2 linked regions of the Ovis aries genome follow. The protein of the gene in region 2 interacts with the protein of the main gene of each other region in a biochemical or structural test. Links are inferred from orthologs where the notes say so. Each region holds a gene or a part of one and is shown on either strand. Other genes may lie near its edges.

Region 1 (6,504 bases), on a different chromosome or scaffold from region 2:
CTAGAAAGAGACTCCTAGTATCCTAAATTCAAATAACATTGACAAAATAATGAATAATTATCTTAAAAAAAATTATAAAGCTATCGGCAAATCAGGTAATTGCTAAATAAAAGTAGAGCACAAGATTAAACTCTAATATTTACAACTGCAACATACTTGAGTAAAATTACAATTGTGCACATATCAGTGGCTTTGTAACAAAAATAATTCATATACATAGAGGAAAAAATTAAGACAGTTTTCAGTTCAACAGAAGTTGAATTCAACCCATCTCAAAGATACTCAACAGCTCAAAGATTTACCACAGAATTGAAGATTAGCTGATAAACCAGAGCCACGTTACTGGCATTTAAGACAAATTTTAAACAAGTTAAAGTCTATCATTTGCTCAGAAGTCAGAAGACTGTGCAAACTTGACCTCAACAGGAATATACTGAGATGTGCAAACAAATGGAAAACCTCCACTAGCTGTTTTATCTGGAGGCTTACCTTTTTTCTTCCCCTCAGAGAGCTTCCTGTTAACAACCGTAAGATATAAATACAGGTACAATGCACAGTCAGTGACCTTTTTAATTTATTGTTAGAATATAAAACAACTGAGAGAGCAATAGGTTTAATTTCATTTTTATAAGGAAGACTGCATTTACCTGAAAAAGAAATATGGCATCACACACAAACACACTTCAAGGGAGGGGTATGTTTAAGAACATGGTGTCATTCTGAATGCCAAAGGAAAAGCGATTCTGTTTATGGTTAAAATATGTAGTGTTAAAGTTCTTTATTTAAGAAAAAAACTTACTAATTCTGCACTAATGTAAGTTTTTGTGAATTTAGTTTTCAAATCACAGTAATCTACATAACCATTATTAACACCTCTGTGTTTATAGTACTGCAACAAGCCAACAAACACTTAAATGCACTTCACATCAAGAGTATGTAAACTTTATTTTTTCCTCTTCAAGCCTTCAGAAATTCAGGGGCTCTTTCAGCAGCCAGTCTGGTCAGAACCTCTGAAGGCAGAATCAGTGCCTCATGGAGAAAACAACCATCTGTGGCACTGCATACCCATCCGGTAGTGAAGTGTCCCCCTTCAGTGGCTTCCAGTAAGGCCTAGAGTTTAAGGTTAACATGAAAAAGTGCCACCTTTGTTTTAGATTAGTGATGGACTCTGACAAGATAAAATAAAGTTATTCTGTATATTGTTATACTTACAAGCAGCTCCAATCCTGAGTATTTATGGTAATATCTAAACATACAAAAATGTATGTACATTTTTCTCCACCTTCTTGTAAACAGTTGTCAGTATACTGTTTTATCCCTTTATCAGTGAAACATGCAAATCATACATACAAGTATAAATACACAAAAGAAAACAATTTACACTCATTCAAAAGCCAAGCAACAACAAAAAATAGCTACAGTATTCAAATTATAAATAAACGAATGCTTGAGGCATCTTATATTCCTAGAAGCAGCCAGCCATTCACCCTAATGTTCTTAGCTGCAATTGTAGAAATACTGAGTTTTGCACCTTCCATGCTTTTACAGTATTTATAACACTATCATATGTGGAGATAAAGACTTGTTTACTATAATCTCTTCTTTTCAGAATGAAGAATAAAGCAGCACTTACAAATATTGAAGCAGTGGTAGTAACAGCAGGTGTTACCACTGCTAGATCAGGAGGAAGTTTTTCATTCTAACAATTTTTAAATTAAAAAAGAAAAGGAAAAATTGACCTAAAGAAATGATTACATGTTCATTCCTTGGGCACTTAACAGCGAGTCCAGCATGTCGAATGTGTCTTTGTAGTCCATATGCTGGCTGTTTGTACTGTACTCGTGATTGACATCAGGACCGTTGGTCTCCACTGGCTTCTTGTCCAGTTTCACGAGGGTGCTGAGATGTCCGTAGCCCACCTGGTATGTGACAGGGGGAGGGGGGGGTAAGGGATGGTTAAAAACAGAGTTGTGAGAGGATATATACTGCTTAACAGAGGAGGAAGAACTAGATGAACTACCTGAACTTTTGGAACTTTTGCTCATTTTGGAGTGATGGTTGTGAGATGCATCATTGATATGCAGCTTCTTCCTTGAAGAGCTGGAACTAGAGGAAATGCCATCACTGCTCAGGCCAACAGGACTCCTCAGAACAGTGGGCGGTATTCCGTCAGCACTGTGTTTACTGCCACCACTGCTGCTGCCACTGTATGAGTGGGAATGCTTGTGACTGCTGGGGTGGTGGCGGTTGGAAGGATGCTCCTTGTGCTTCTCCTTATGGTCCCTGCTAATATGTGGGCTGGAATGCTTGCTCTTCCCACTGCCTTCATCAGAAGAGCTGTGTCTTTCTGATGAAGAAACTTTTATTTTCATTTTCAGTTCTTCTTTACTGACACTTTTATCAGTGGGTGGTATTGGAATCCGTAATTTCAGTGATCCACTCTTTTCCTTCTTCTCTGCCATGTATTTTTCAGGTTTTTCAGCATTTGTAATGGGAATTTTCATTTTAATGGGAGAAGTCACAGAACTGCTGCTGGCTGCCTGAGACTGTACATGTTTGTGTTGCTGTTCTACCTGGGCAGCTATATAATGATCCCTTGCATCCAGATCAAGGCTTTCTAGCTTACGTTTTTCTCTATATTTATCTAAAGACATTTTCTGAGGAATTACTCCAGGAGTAGCAGAAATTGGCCCGTGGTGTTTACTGCTCCCTGCTTTATGAGTATAATCTTGCTTAACAGAAGAGTGATCAGAAATTTTGTCAGGTCTGTGATGTAATCCTGAATGCAATGATGCAGAAGGCCCCTGCTTGAAGTTGATGTTGTACTGGCTACCAGACAAAGATGTTTCCTGTTTCTGTGAATATATCTGTTCTGTCCTTGCCGACTCTTGATGCTGAGGCCATTCTTGGTGTGATGACAAACCATATGAGGTACTTGGCATTCCTGTTGCTAGCATTGACAAATTATCAGATGCATGGCTGTCTTGAACAGAAATATTTCCTGAATTTAGAGGTACTGGTGCAGGGAAAGCTGATGTAGATGGTTTCTGAAAACTTGGTTTGGTAGGCACACCAGTAACACTATCTACTAACATGGAATTCTGGACCAAAGATGAACCCAGAAGAGGCGTTTCTGATACTTGTCCATCTACTTTTGGTTTCCCAGCTGCCTGGTTAGCCTATTTAAATAAAACACAAAAGAAACAATGACAGCAAAGGAATTTAATATAAATTTCTTTGCTTATAAAAATTCTATATTAAATATATGAAAATAAAATCACCTGGGGTTGGACTTTATTGCCAGTAAACAAACATCTTATTTAGAGCCATAAAATAAGACTATATATAGTGAAAGCATTGGCTTTAAACTAAATACTGAATAAATTCCAGCCCAGCATCTGAGAGAGGAATTTAACTTGTCTAGCTTTAATTCCCCTTCTTGTAACGTGAGGATACTATTTCCACAGTAATCACTATGAGAATAAGAAATCCATATTTATAGCAAAGTATACTGGACACAGTAGTTGGATAAATTATGAGCGCATGTAGCTTATGATACACTGTAATTACTTCAAATATTAGAAATAAGAATATTTAACCATAAAAATTCAAATTAGCAAATTGATGTTCTGATAAACCCTGTCAATTCTCTTACCCTCCAGTATCGAATCTTCTTCAACCTACTAGGCGTTTTCTCCAATATTTGTAGAAACTCATGTGTTAGCTCTAAAAATAAAATTTAAATTTAAAACTTAGAAGGTGCCTTTAGATTTAGAATTCTCTCAAGTGGGCAATATTAAAAAGAAAGCACAAGAGTTCATCTACTTCATGACCACCTTCCTAATTCAACCATTAGCACATACAGAAGTACACACAGCTTTGAACTGGTATTTTCAAAGAAGAATCTTAAAAAAAAATTTTTTGATTAAAAAAAACAAAACAAAACAAACAAACAAACAAAAAATAATCAAACAAAAACCCCATCTCCCACATCTCCCTGATTTTAAATGCTTACTTAGAATCTCTGAAAAATTTAGTCACATTTAAAAAATTGCTCCCAAACAGAAAACTGCTATCAGGCAAACATCAGGAATAATCGTGGTGGGGAAGGTCCATCGTTAGATTCTTTACAATCAGTGCCCGAAAGTTCAAGGAAAAAAGAGAATATTTGTATAATCAAGATATTAATTACAAAGAGAAAATTAGTAACTTTACGACCCTAACCAAGTGATCATGACTAGCATTACCAGTAATAAAACATATCAACTTGATATACCTTGATGAAATGCACTGAGTAGGACAACTCATTTCTGTGGTATTCTTGCCCAAAATGTAAAACCTCAATTTAACAATGGGAAAACATCAGACAAACTCTAATTGAGGAACATTTTATAAAATAACTGACAATTATTCTTCAAAGTGTTAAGGACATGAAAGAAAAGATTGAAAAATTATCACAGATTGGAAGAGATTAAAGGGGGGCATGGCAACTAAATGGAACATGGGATCTTAGATGTTATTATTACGTAAGATGCTAATATTAGAGAAACTGGGTACAGGGTATAACAGCACAGACTTTGTACCATTTCACAGTTTCTTTAAATTTAAAACCATTTCAAAGTTAAAATGAAAAAATTTCTTTACCTATACTTGTAACTTCCTAGCGATCAACACAGTATTAACATTTCAGTAAACCACCCTGGTCACATTTCTACAATTTTTCTTCTTAAATTTAGAATTATAATGAAATAAGAGATGATTCACTTTTCCAAAGTGGTATGGTTAAGATGAATTCTAGTTTTCAACTCCATAGAAAAATAGTGTTATTAATAAAGTTACTGGCCACTCTCAACACAAGTATTAATAATATCAAATGAGAATGTCATGTAATATTATTAATGCCAATTTAGTATAAAGAGACTGATAAAAATTTGGCATCATTATGTGCTCATAATCTGTGATAAGTAGTTCCTGCTAAAGTCTCAGGAGCTTTTTGATTCAGTTTAGATGAAAAAAAGATCTAATGCCTATACTACCACTTCTTCATTAAAAAAAAAAAGACCACTTTTCTACTTGGACATAGTAGTAAATCTAGCAGATACACAATCCCCCTGGGTCCAAAATTAACAATAAATCATTCTGATTCAGCTTCAGAAAAATTCACATTATAAAAAACACATGAGGGTTTGTTATTAATCAATAACCGCCCGGCCACAACCCTCTTACAGGTAGGCCAAACACAATCAATGCTGTTCTGGTGACAGTCATTAAATGTAAAATTCAGATACTGTTAACATCTGAAATTTTGTTACTTTTTAATGTAATCAAAATAGAGAAAAGGCTGCTACATAATATGTTGAAATTTTCAATGTGTTAAGTGTCCAAGATTCCTATTCAATGTTCAAATGAATATGAACTTGAGCTTTTTCAGAATAGAAGCAAAGACATATTTAGATGGCTCGTGTTGTGTCAAAAAAGACTTTACCTACAATTTAAGAGCAGGATAAAAGGCAGATTACTTGCTTTCTATAAACTTTATTTTAGAGACATGTATAGAAACTATTTCTATTAAGTTTTTATCTTATTTGTATCTTATCATATCTATCAATAGATAAGACAACTATTTTATCTTACCTGTTGACTGCTAAAATAAGATGGTGGCACAGATAATTTCAAGTCACAAATGGGAAAATAAAAAGTTCCCATTAGTTTTTAGAAGATGTTATATTTCAACTCGCTGAAGATTTCCTACTACTCTGAGTAAACTTTAAACTATCACTAGTGAGCCAAATATGACCTGTATCCTGTTTTTGCAAATAGATTTACTAGAACACAGCTATATACTTATAGTTGCCTGTGGTTGCTTTCTAGCTCTGGTGGCAGAGTTGTCTTGTTGCACAGACAGTATAGCCCACAAACCCTAAAACAGTTACTACTTGGCCCTTCACAGAAAAGGGTGCAGACCCTTAAATAAATTTCTACCTTAAAGAAGCATCTGAGATATTAATGGAAAACCAATTTCCAAAGCCTTAGGGGTCTCTCACTTTTACTTAACAGATGTCCTATAAATCCAGTTTTCTCATCAGTTTCAATTTTGTAAAGGAAGCTGGGGAAAGCACACAAAAAGAAGCTGAAAACCTAACGTATCAGTTTAGATCTAAGAAGTGTTATCTATTTCCTTTCTGTAATCTATACTTCCTGGTTAAAATGTCTTAATCTGCAAGATATTCTACCTCTGGCCTGCCAGAAAAATTTCCTTTCAGGAGACCCCTAAATGCCAGATTCATAATTTATAGAACTTATACTCCCAATTTTTCCTTGTCAATTCATACTTATTAATGCACGGCAACAATGACACACTTTATCACCAGCAGAACAACAGAACAAGGAATATTACCATGAAAATATCATTAGCTTACTGCTTCACATCTTCTACAGTAAGTTAATACATGCTTTGTGTTTATACATTTTAAACCCGACAAAATTAGTATACTTTAAAATTAT
Region 2 (7,144 bases):
CAGCATGCTGGGGTCTCTCAGAGTCACCGGGGGGGCATGCCTCTCCCCCCACCCCAGTCCTGCCCTAAGGTAAAGGGAGGCCCTCTGAGCGTCACTGCCAAAGCCAGGGAACAAGGTGGGCAGCTCAGGTGCCTTCCTGGACTCTCCACCAAAGTTTTACTCCAGTCTGCTCGGTTGGTGCCCGACGCCCAGGGTGCGGATTAAATAAGATATGCGCTAGAGGAAAAACTCACATGCCCCATAATCTCCACGCTGCAAGTCACAGAGCAGAAGAAAAAAAACCAAAACCACGGCCCTAACGAGAAGCAATAGCAGCCAGCCCTCAGAAGACGCGCTCAAACTCCGTCTGGTTGGTGGTGGCAGGATTCCGGCTCTGGTTGGTTGACTGCTGGGTGATCTGGCTGCCCTTCCGGCGTGGAGGTGCCAGGTACTCGAACATGGATGTCAGGTGGGTGGAGAGCATGCCCTTGAGGTCCGAGGGCATGGGGTCGGACCAGAAGAAGTCGTGGTTGAGGGCGTCGTCACTGTCGATGCGCTGGGCGGGGTCCAGCACCAGCAGCTTGTCGATGAGGTCCAGCGCGTAGGGGTCTCGCACGTAGGCCTTCAGCCTGTCCTTCACCTTCCGCTTCTGGCCCTTGACCAGCTCCACTTTCTCAAACAGCTCGTACTTGTCCACATTTGGCCACACCTGGGGTAGGGGGGAGGCATGGAAAGAGGGGAAGACTAGTTCAGCAGGGTATGTGACTGATCCACTGGTCAAGTATGTAGTGACTGGATACGTCTCCGTTCAGGACATCCCTGGTGATCCGATGGTTAAGAACTGCCTACCAATGCAGGGGACACGGGTTCAATCCTTGGTCTGGCAAGATTCCACATGCCATGAAGCAACTAAGCCCGTGTGCCACAACGACTGAAGCCCGGGTCTAACGCCAGTGCTCTGGAGCAAGGTAAGCCCCCCGCACTGCAACTAGGGAAAGCCCAGGCTCAGCAGTGAAGATCCAGAGCAGCCAAAAATAACTAAGTAAACACGTACAACTTGCTCAGATGCTTCCAGACCACCCCAGAGCCCTCTGCGGCCAAAGCAGCAGTAACCACAGATGGGACACAGGCACTGAATACCAGGCCCTTTGGTGTGAATCGCCTGGGAGATGTGTGCCAAGTGTGACAGAACCACAGATGTCTCACGGCAGAGATCAGCCCTGAGGTGAGGTGCTCAAGACACCTTGCCGGAAAACCCCAGGAACCAGGGACGCAGCCCAGACCTGACGTCGCCATGGCTAACAGCAGACTGTAAGCCTCCACCAGCCGCCTGTCCAGGTCAGGGTTTTGCCTCTGTTCCGTGTGCCCCTCCTCCCCTGCCAGGGAGCCTCCCCCACCCCTCTCGAAGGTGTGTGGCCTTTGGGGGGCCCCCAGGAGGCAGGCTGCGACGCACCTCGGGGGTGATGGAGCCGCAGAGCTGGCTGATGAGGGCGAGCTGGTGCTGCTCCGTGTTGCCCTGCATGATGGGGCTGCGGGTCCACATCTCCGCCATGATGCACCCAGCACCCCACAGATCAATGGGGGGGCCGTAGTCCCGCTCCCCTGGGAACAAGAGCACACCAGGGAGGGCCCCCTGAGCCCCATGGCCTCCTGAAAGGCCACGCCCCTGGGGCCGATGGCTCAAGAAGCCCTGGCAGTTGGGGTGCTGAGACTGAGCTGAGTGCCCAGCCCCTGCTCCCCTCTGCCAGCTCGGGAGAGTCCTCACCGAGCAACAGCTCTGGGGGCCGGTACCAGAGGGTCACCACACGGTTGGTGTAGCGGTTGGGCTGGCTGTTCTTGGCCAGGCTGAAGGCCCGGGCCAACCCAAAGTCCGCCAGCTTCAGAACCCCATCGCGGGTGATGAGCACGTTAGCCGCCTTCATGTCCCGGTGCAGGATCTGCAGGAAGCACAAGGCGGAGGGTTCCCAGGGATCCCTTAGCCATGCCCACCCCGCTGTGAGCGCAAAGGCCAGCCCAAGCCCTGCTCTCTCCTCCCCAACTAGGGCCCCCACCTTGTTCCTGTGGATGTAGTAGAGGCCGTTAAGCAACATCTGCATGACCCTCTTGATCTCAGATAGTGTGAACTTGACTAAGACGTTGCTCAGTAGCCCAGCAAGATCATGCTCGCAGAAGTCAAACACCAGGTATATACTGCCTTTGCAGCGGTTATAGGGGGAAGCTGAGGCAGGAAGAATGAGGAGGAGAGAGGGGGAGGCATTAAAAAAAAAATCAGAAACCTTACATGTAACTCATTTCCTCCAAACTAGCTCCCAACCCCTCCAACCCATGGCCACCCCGAATATCCGGGTACAAATTCCTTCACAGGTAAAACATTTTCTGAGTGCCTTCTCTGGGCTGGGTGCTGTGGCAGGCCCTGGGGAAGCACCTGCTCCGATGAAAAGACCAGAGAAAGCAGTCACAGTTGGAATGTCTGGGTTAAGAAGAGGCAGTGTAAATGTGTCCAGTGTCAACTCCGCAAACAAAGCCTCAGTTTTTCCATCTGAAAATGGGAACATGATCCAAACAACTTACCTTTGGTTCGACAGATCTCAATCAAGTTGACCACATTCTCGTGTTTTAGAAGCTGGAGGATCTTGATCTCCCGCAATGCTGTAATGGGGAACTGGGTGGGAGAAAAGACAGGAGGAAGTCAAAAGTGGGTGAGCACACTACAGACCCAGGAACTGACCATGGGGTCCACGCGAAGGGTCATAGGCTGGGAGACAGTAAATGCACAGGCTCTGGAATTAGCTGTCTCAGATGTCACATATGTAAAACGGGAGTAACTATGTACGCCTCATAAAGAACTGAATGAATGAATCAAAATAATTCAATGAATGATCCGAAACAGTGACACTTCACACAAAGGTTCTGTTACCAGTCATCAGACGCTCCGCAGTTTCTTCACCCTTATAAATTTTAGCCCTATGCCTGCATTTAACCTGCTTGGCAGTTAACAAATATATAATTAAAGAAGCTGGTCTCTGGAAAGCTGAACCAGAACTAACACACGTGTGTGGCAGGAGAGACTGTTGCTTTTCAGCTGAATACCAATCACCTTTTCAAAGCCATTGCATGTAATTATCATTATCATATATATATCTTTTTTGCGTTCAACAAAATTAAACCCTAAAGAAAAAGTCTTTAACGACTTCCTAACTTCAAAAACCTAGGGGCACTGGGTACAAGCATGGGCTCCCCCGCCTGGCACCAACCATATTCACCCAAGAATGAAGTATCAAAAGCTCTAAGACATCTGAATTCAAAGACTGAACTGGGAAGTCAAACTTCCTGGAATATGGAAATTTCCAAACACCTAATCTGAATCTATTACGTTGAGAGTCCCCAAACCAGAAAGGTGGAAACGCAACCTCACGCCCAAAGGAGCTGGGAGACCTGCCCACCCCACCCCATACTCACCCCCTCTTTCTCGTTCTCCATCAGTACCTTCTTCAGGGCCACCTTTTGGCCGGTCTTGCGGTGCTTTGCCTTAAACACCTCCCTGCAGGCGGAGAGGGGAGACCCAAGAGGGCTCTTAGAGGACGTTTCCGCAGAGCCCGCCCCTCCCCCACCAGAGGAGGCCCGGAAAGGGAATCCCGGGCGGGGCTGGGCCGGGTCCCTCACGGCACTCGGCTACCCCACCACGCGGTGACTCTGGTCCCTTCTCGAGTCTCAGCCTTCTTCCCTCTGCTCCTTGCGCCTCACTCGGGCGTCTCGCAGAGAGATCCCGCACCACTCACAGGCTCCTCTCTGCAACCCCTCCCTGCCCCCCCATTAAGGGCCTCAGGCTCCTCCCAGCCGGCCGACTCCTTCAGGCCCCGGCGGGGTTGCGGTGCGGCCTAGCGAGACCAGGGGATAAGTTTGCGTCTAAGTGGCTTCCCGACCAACCGGGCCCGGGTCTGGGCGTCCCGACGTCGGCCCGGAGGGGTGCAGGTTCAGGAGGCTCCCGGTCCCTGGGGGTTGAGGGGGGGCCCAGCCTTACCCGAAGGTGCCTTGGCCGATTTTAGCGAGCTTCTCATATTTGGTCACCTCATCACAAAAAGGGCACTCCACCGAGTCGTACTGCTTTGCCATGGCTGACTCCAGTGCGCCGCCGCCGCCGCCTCCAGCCACCACCGCCGCCGCCGCTGCTGCCGCCGCCGCTCCCGCTCCGGGTCCCGCCGCCGTGCTCCAGGCCCCTCCGCGGCCGCGCCACTTCCGCCTCCACGGCCACTTCCGGCCTCGAGGCGCCGACCCCGCCTCTTCCGCCCGCCGCCCGCCGCCAGGCCCCCTGGGACTTGTAGTTCCCGGGAGGCCAGGAGGAGCCGAAGCTGCAGAGGCGCCTCCGCCACCGCCGCTGCCCCCGCCTCCGCCGCCGCCGGCGCCGGCGGTGGCCCCGATCGGGGGCGCGGGGAGCCGGGGCGCCGGGGCTGGGGCTCGAGGTGGTGCGTCCCGCTGCATCGGCTCGGGCCGCCGCCGCCGCCGCTGCCGAAGCCGCTGCCGCTCTGGCGCCCGATCCGGGGCCAGCCGCAGTGCCCTGCTCCTCCTCCTCCTCCGACGGCGCCGCCTCCGCCGGGCTGCGCTGGGCGCCGGGCGCAGGGGGGGTGGGGGGGCGGCCCCCCGAGCCGCGGCCTGGGGGCTCCCTGGCCGGGCCCGGGCCCGGGGCGGCCGGGCGAGGGGGCCAGACGGAAACAGCCGATGAGGAGGCGGCCCGAGAGCCCGGGAGGGGGCGCGTTATAAAGGGGGAGGTGCCCAGGCCTCGCCCTCCCCTCCCCCTCCGCCCGCCCCCTCCCTCCTCCCTTCCACCCTCAGCGGCCGCACCTGCCGCCGCCGCCGCCTGCCTCCCGCCCGCCCGCCGCCCTCGGCGCGTCACCGCCCGCGGCCCCTCCTCCGCCTTCGGAGGTGGGGCCCCGCGCTCAACACCTGGCTTCGGGGCGCGACTTACCGCGTGCCTCAGTTTACCCGCACATGCCAGCCGCAGCGGGGAGTCCCTTCCTCCCCGGCTCGGGATTTCCCCACCCGCTCTCACACCCCACTCTACGCAGGCGAGGACTAGAGGTGCCGAGAGAGCGGCCTCGGGTCCGGGGAAGGGAGAACGGGCCCCGACCGCCGCCTCCCCGGGCCCCCGCCGACCCGCCGTTGATATGGCAACCGATAGCCGCCAGGGGGCGCGGCGACATTGAAGGTGGTGAGCCAGCAACGCCTGGGCCTTCCACTCCTGGATCCCCACCCAGTTCTCTGGGAGACAAGAGATGAGACCCACAGGACTTTGGTTCCTGCCGAGCTGCTCCCTAACTGGTCGCGCCCCGGGTTAGTAGTCACAAAGGTAGCCGGCATTTCGTCGGCCCCTCTTGTGTGCTCTGGAAGTGCTGGGCATTCCTACTGAATCCTGAATCCACCGCCCATAGTCAGGATCACTAACCAATTTTACAGAAGAGCACATTGAGGCTCGGAGAGGTGAGGTCATTTGCTCAAGGTCTCACAGTAATAAAGCTGGGACTTGAACCTTGTCTGTCTGAATCCGAAGAGGATTCTCTTGACTCCGGCTATTTACAGTCTGTCCAGCAGTATAGCAAGTGGTGCTGTTTGAGGCCTGCTGTTGTTATGCCAGGGTACCAAGCCCACCACCGTCCACCATCTCCTTTGATCCTATGCCTGCTTCTCCTACCCTGGCGCTTCTTCCCCAGCAGCTTTCTGATACATTCTGGCTCCAGGAGCCTCCTGTATCTCCTTCCAGCCTTTGACACCCAGCCCTCAACAAGGCTGCCTTCAGACCTCCTCTCCACCCCTCTTCAATTTGCACCCCCCACCCCAGTCCTCCACCAATGGATCTTAAGACCTGTCCTCCCCAGTCTGTCCCCTCCATCTGTCCCCCTGCCAGCACCCATCAGATCATTCTGAAGTGATGTCTGTATGTCTTTCTCTCCACTGTCATCAGGAAAAACCAAACTGTGACATTTGAGGCTCGAAGGAGATCAGCCCTGGGATTTCTTTGGAAGGAATGATGCTAAAGCTGAAACTCCAGTACTTTGGCCACCTCATGGAAGAGTTGACTCATTGGAAAAGACTGATGCTGGGAGGGATTGGGGGCAGGAGGAGAAGGGGATGACAGAGGATGAGATGGCTGGATGGCATCACCGACTCGATGGACGTGAGTCTGAATGAACTCCGGGAGATGGTGATGGACAGGGAGGCCTGGCGTGCTGCGATTCATGGGGTCGCAGAGTTGGACCTGACTGACGATTGAGCTGAACTGAACTGAACCGAACCTAGGCTGTGGCCACACTGCTTCCTACACGCCAGGGCCCCTTGCCTTCAGGGCTATGCTCTCTGGTTGCACCACTGCCTTCTCTTCTGCCAGGAAGGTTCCTGGGTTGCTCTCCAGCTCTTAGCTCACATTAGGAGTCAGGAATGGGTCTGGTAATCCTGGTGTCCCAAGAGACCCTGTTCTGCTGGGAAGCAGGGGGACTGCCCGGGAAGGTCTTCAGGATCAGGTGAGGAGCAGAGAGCCCTCTCCTGAAGGCAGTGTGGACCAGCGAGGGTTTGGGGCAGGTCAGGGAGTGATCTGGGGTCAGTTTCTTGGGTACAATATTAGAAGCAGGGTGACCATTGGCTAAATTGGGGGTGGGGAGAGCAGAGAGTGAGAAAATAATAATAACTGTAGTAATTATAGTTTATGGAGTGAAAATAAATGGTCCAAGCTGTACACTTAGCACTTTATGGGAATTATCTCAATTCTCACTCAGCAATATTATACTATTATTACCTCTGTTGTACTTAGAAGAACACTGGAACTCAGAGGTGACGTCACTTATTGTTGTTGTTCAGTTGCTAAGTCATGTCTGACTCTTTGTGACCCCATGGACTGAAGCCCACCAGGCTCCTCTGTCCTCCAGTATCTCCTGGAGTTTGCTCAAATTCATGTCCACTGAGTCCGTGATACTATCTAACCAGCTTATCTCCTGGAGAAGGAAATGGCAAACCCAGTATTCTTCAGTATTCTTGCCTGGAGAATCCCATGGACGGTGACATCATTGGCCAGGGTCAAATACCTGGCCAGTTGCCACACTGATATGTAAAGCCAACAGCAGCCAAAGTCTGGTGCCAACCCCAAGCGGTTACCCATGTCAGGACTCTGCCCACCTGG

The links.
Region 1: the proteins of CDK9 (region 2) and CCNT2 form a complex in vitro, tested with the Homo sapiens proteins (4 studies listed by BioGRID, with this or other methods). The link is inferred for Ovis aries from reciprocal best matches to the Homo sapiens genes CDK9 and CCNT2.

The regions. Positions count from the first base shown.
Region 1 is NC_056055.1:175,803,995-175,810,498, forward strand, and holds part of CCNT2 (cyclin-T2), read right to left. Parts: intron 3,727-6,504; coding exon 3,656-3,726; intron 3,180-3,655; coding exon 1,752-3,179; 3' UTR 1-1,751. UniProt on the Homo sapiens protein: Regulatory subunit of the cyclin-dependent kinase pair (CDK9/cyclin T) complex, also called positive transcription elongation factor B (P-TEFB), which is proposed to facilitate the transition from abortive to production elongation by phosphorylating the CTD (carboxy-terminal domain) of the large subunit of RNA polymerase II (RNAP II).
Region 2 is NC_056056.1:8,429,371-8,436,514, forward strand, and holds the start of CDK9 (cyclin-dependent kinase 9), read right to left. Parts: upstream 4,236-7,144; 5' UTR 4,093-4,235; coding exon 4,001-4,092; intron 3,521-4,000; coding exon 3,439-3,520; intron 2,642-3,438; coding exon 2,551-2,641; intron 2,198-2,550; coding exon 2,031-2,197; intron 1,917-2,030; coding exon 1,745-1,916; intron 1,582-1,744; coding exon 1,433-1,581; intron 689-1,432; coding exon 323-688; 3' UTR 1-322. UniProt on the Homo sapiens protein: Protein kinase involved in the regulation of transcription.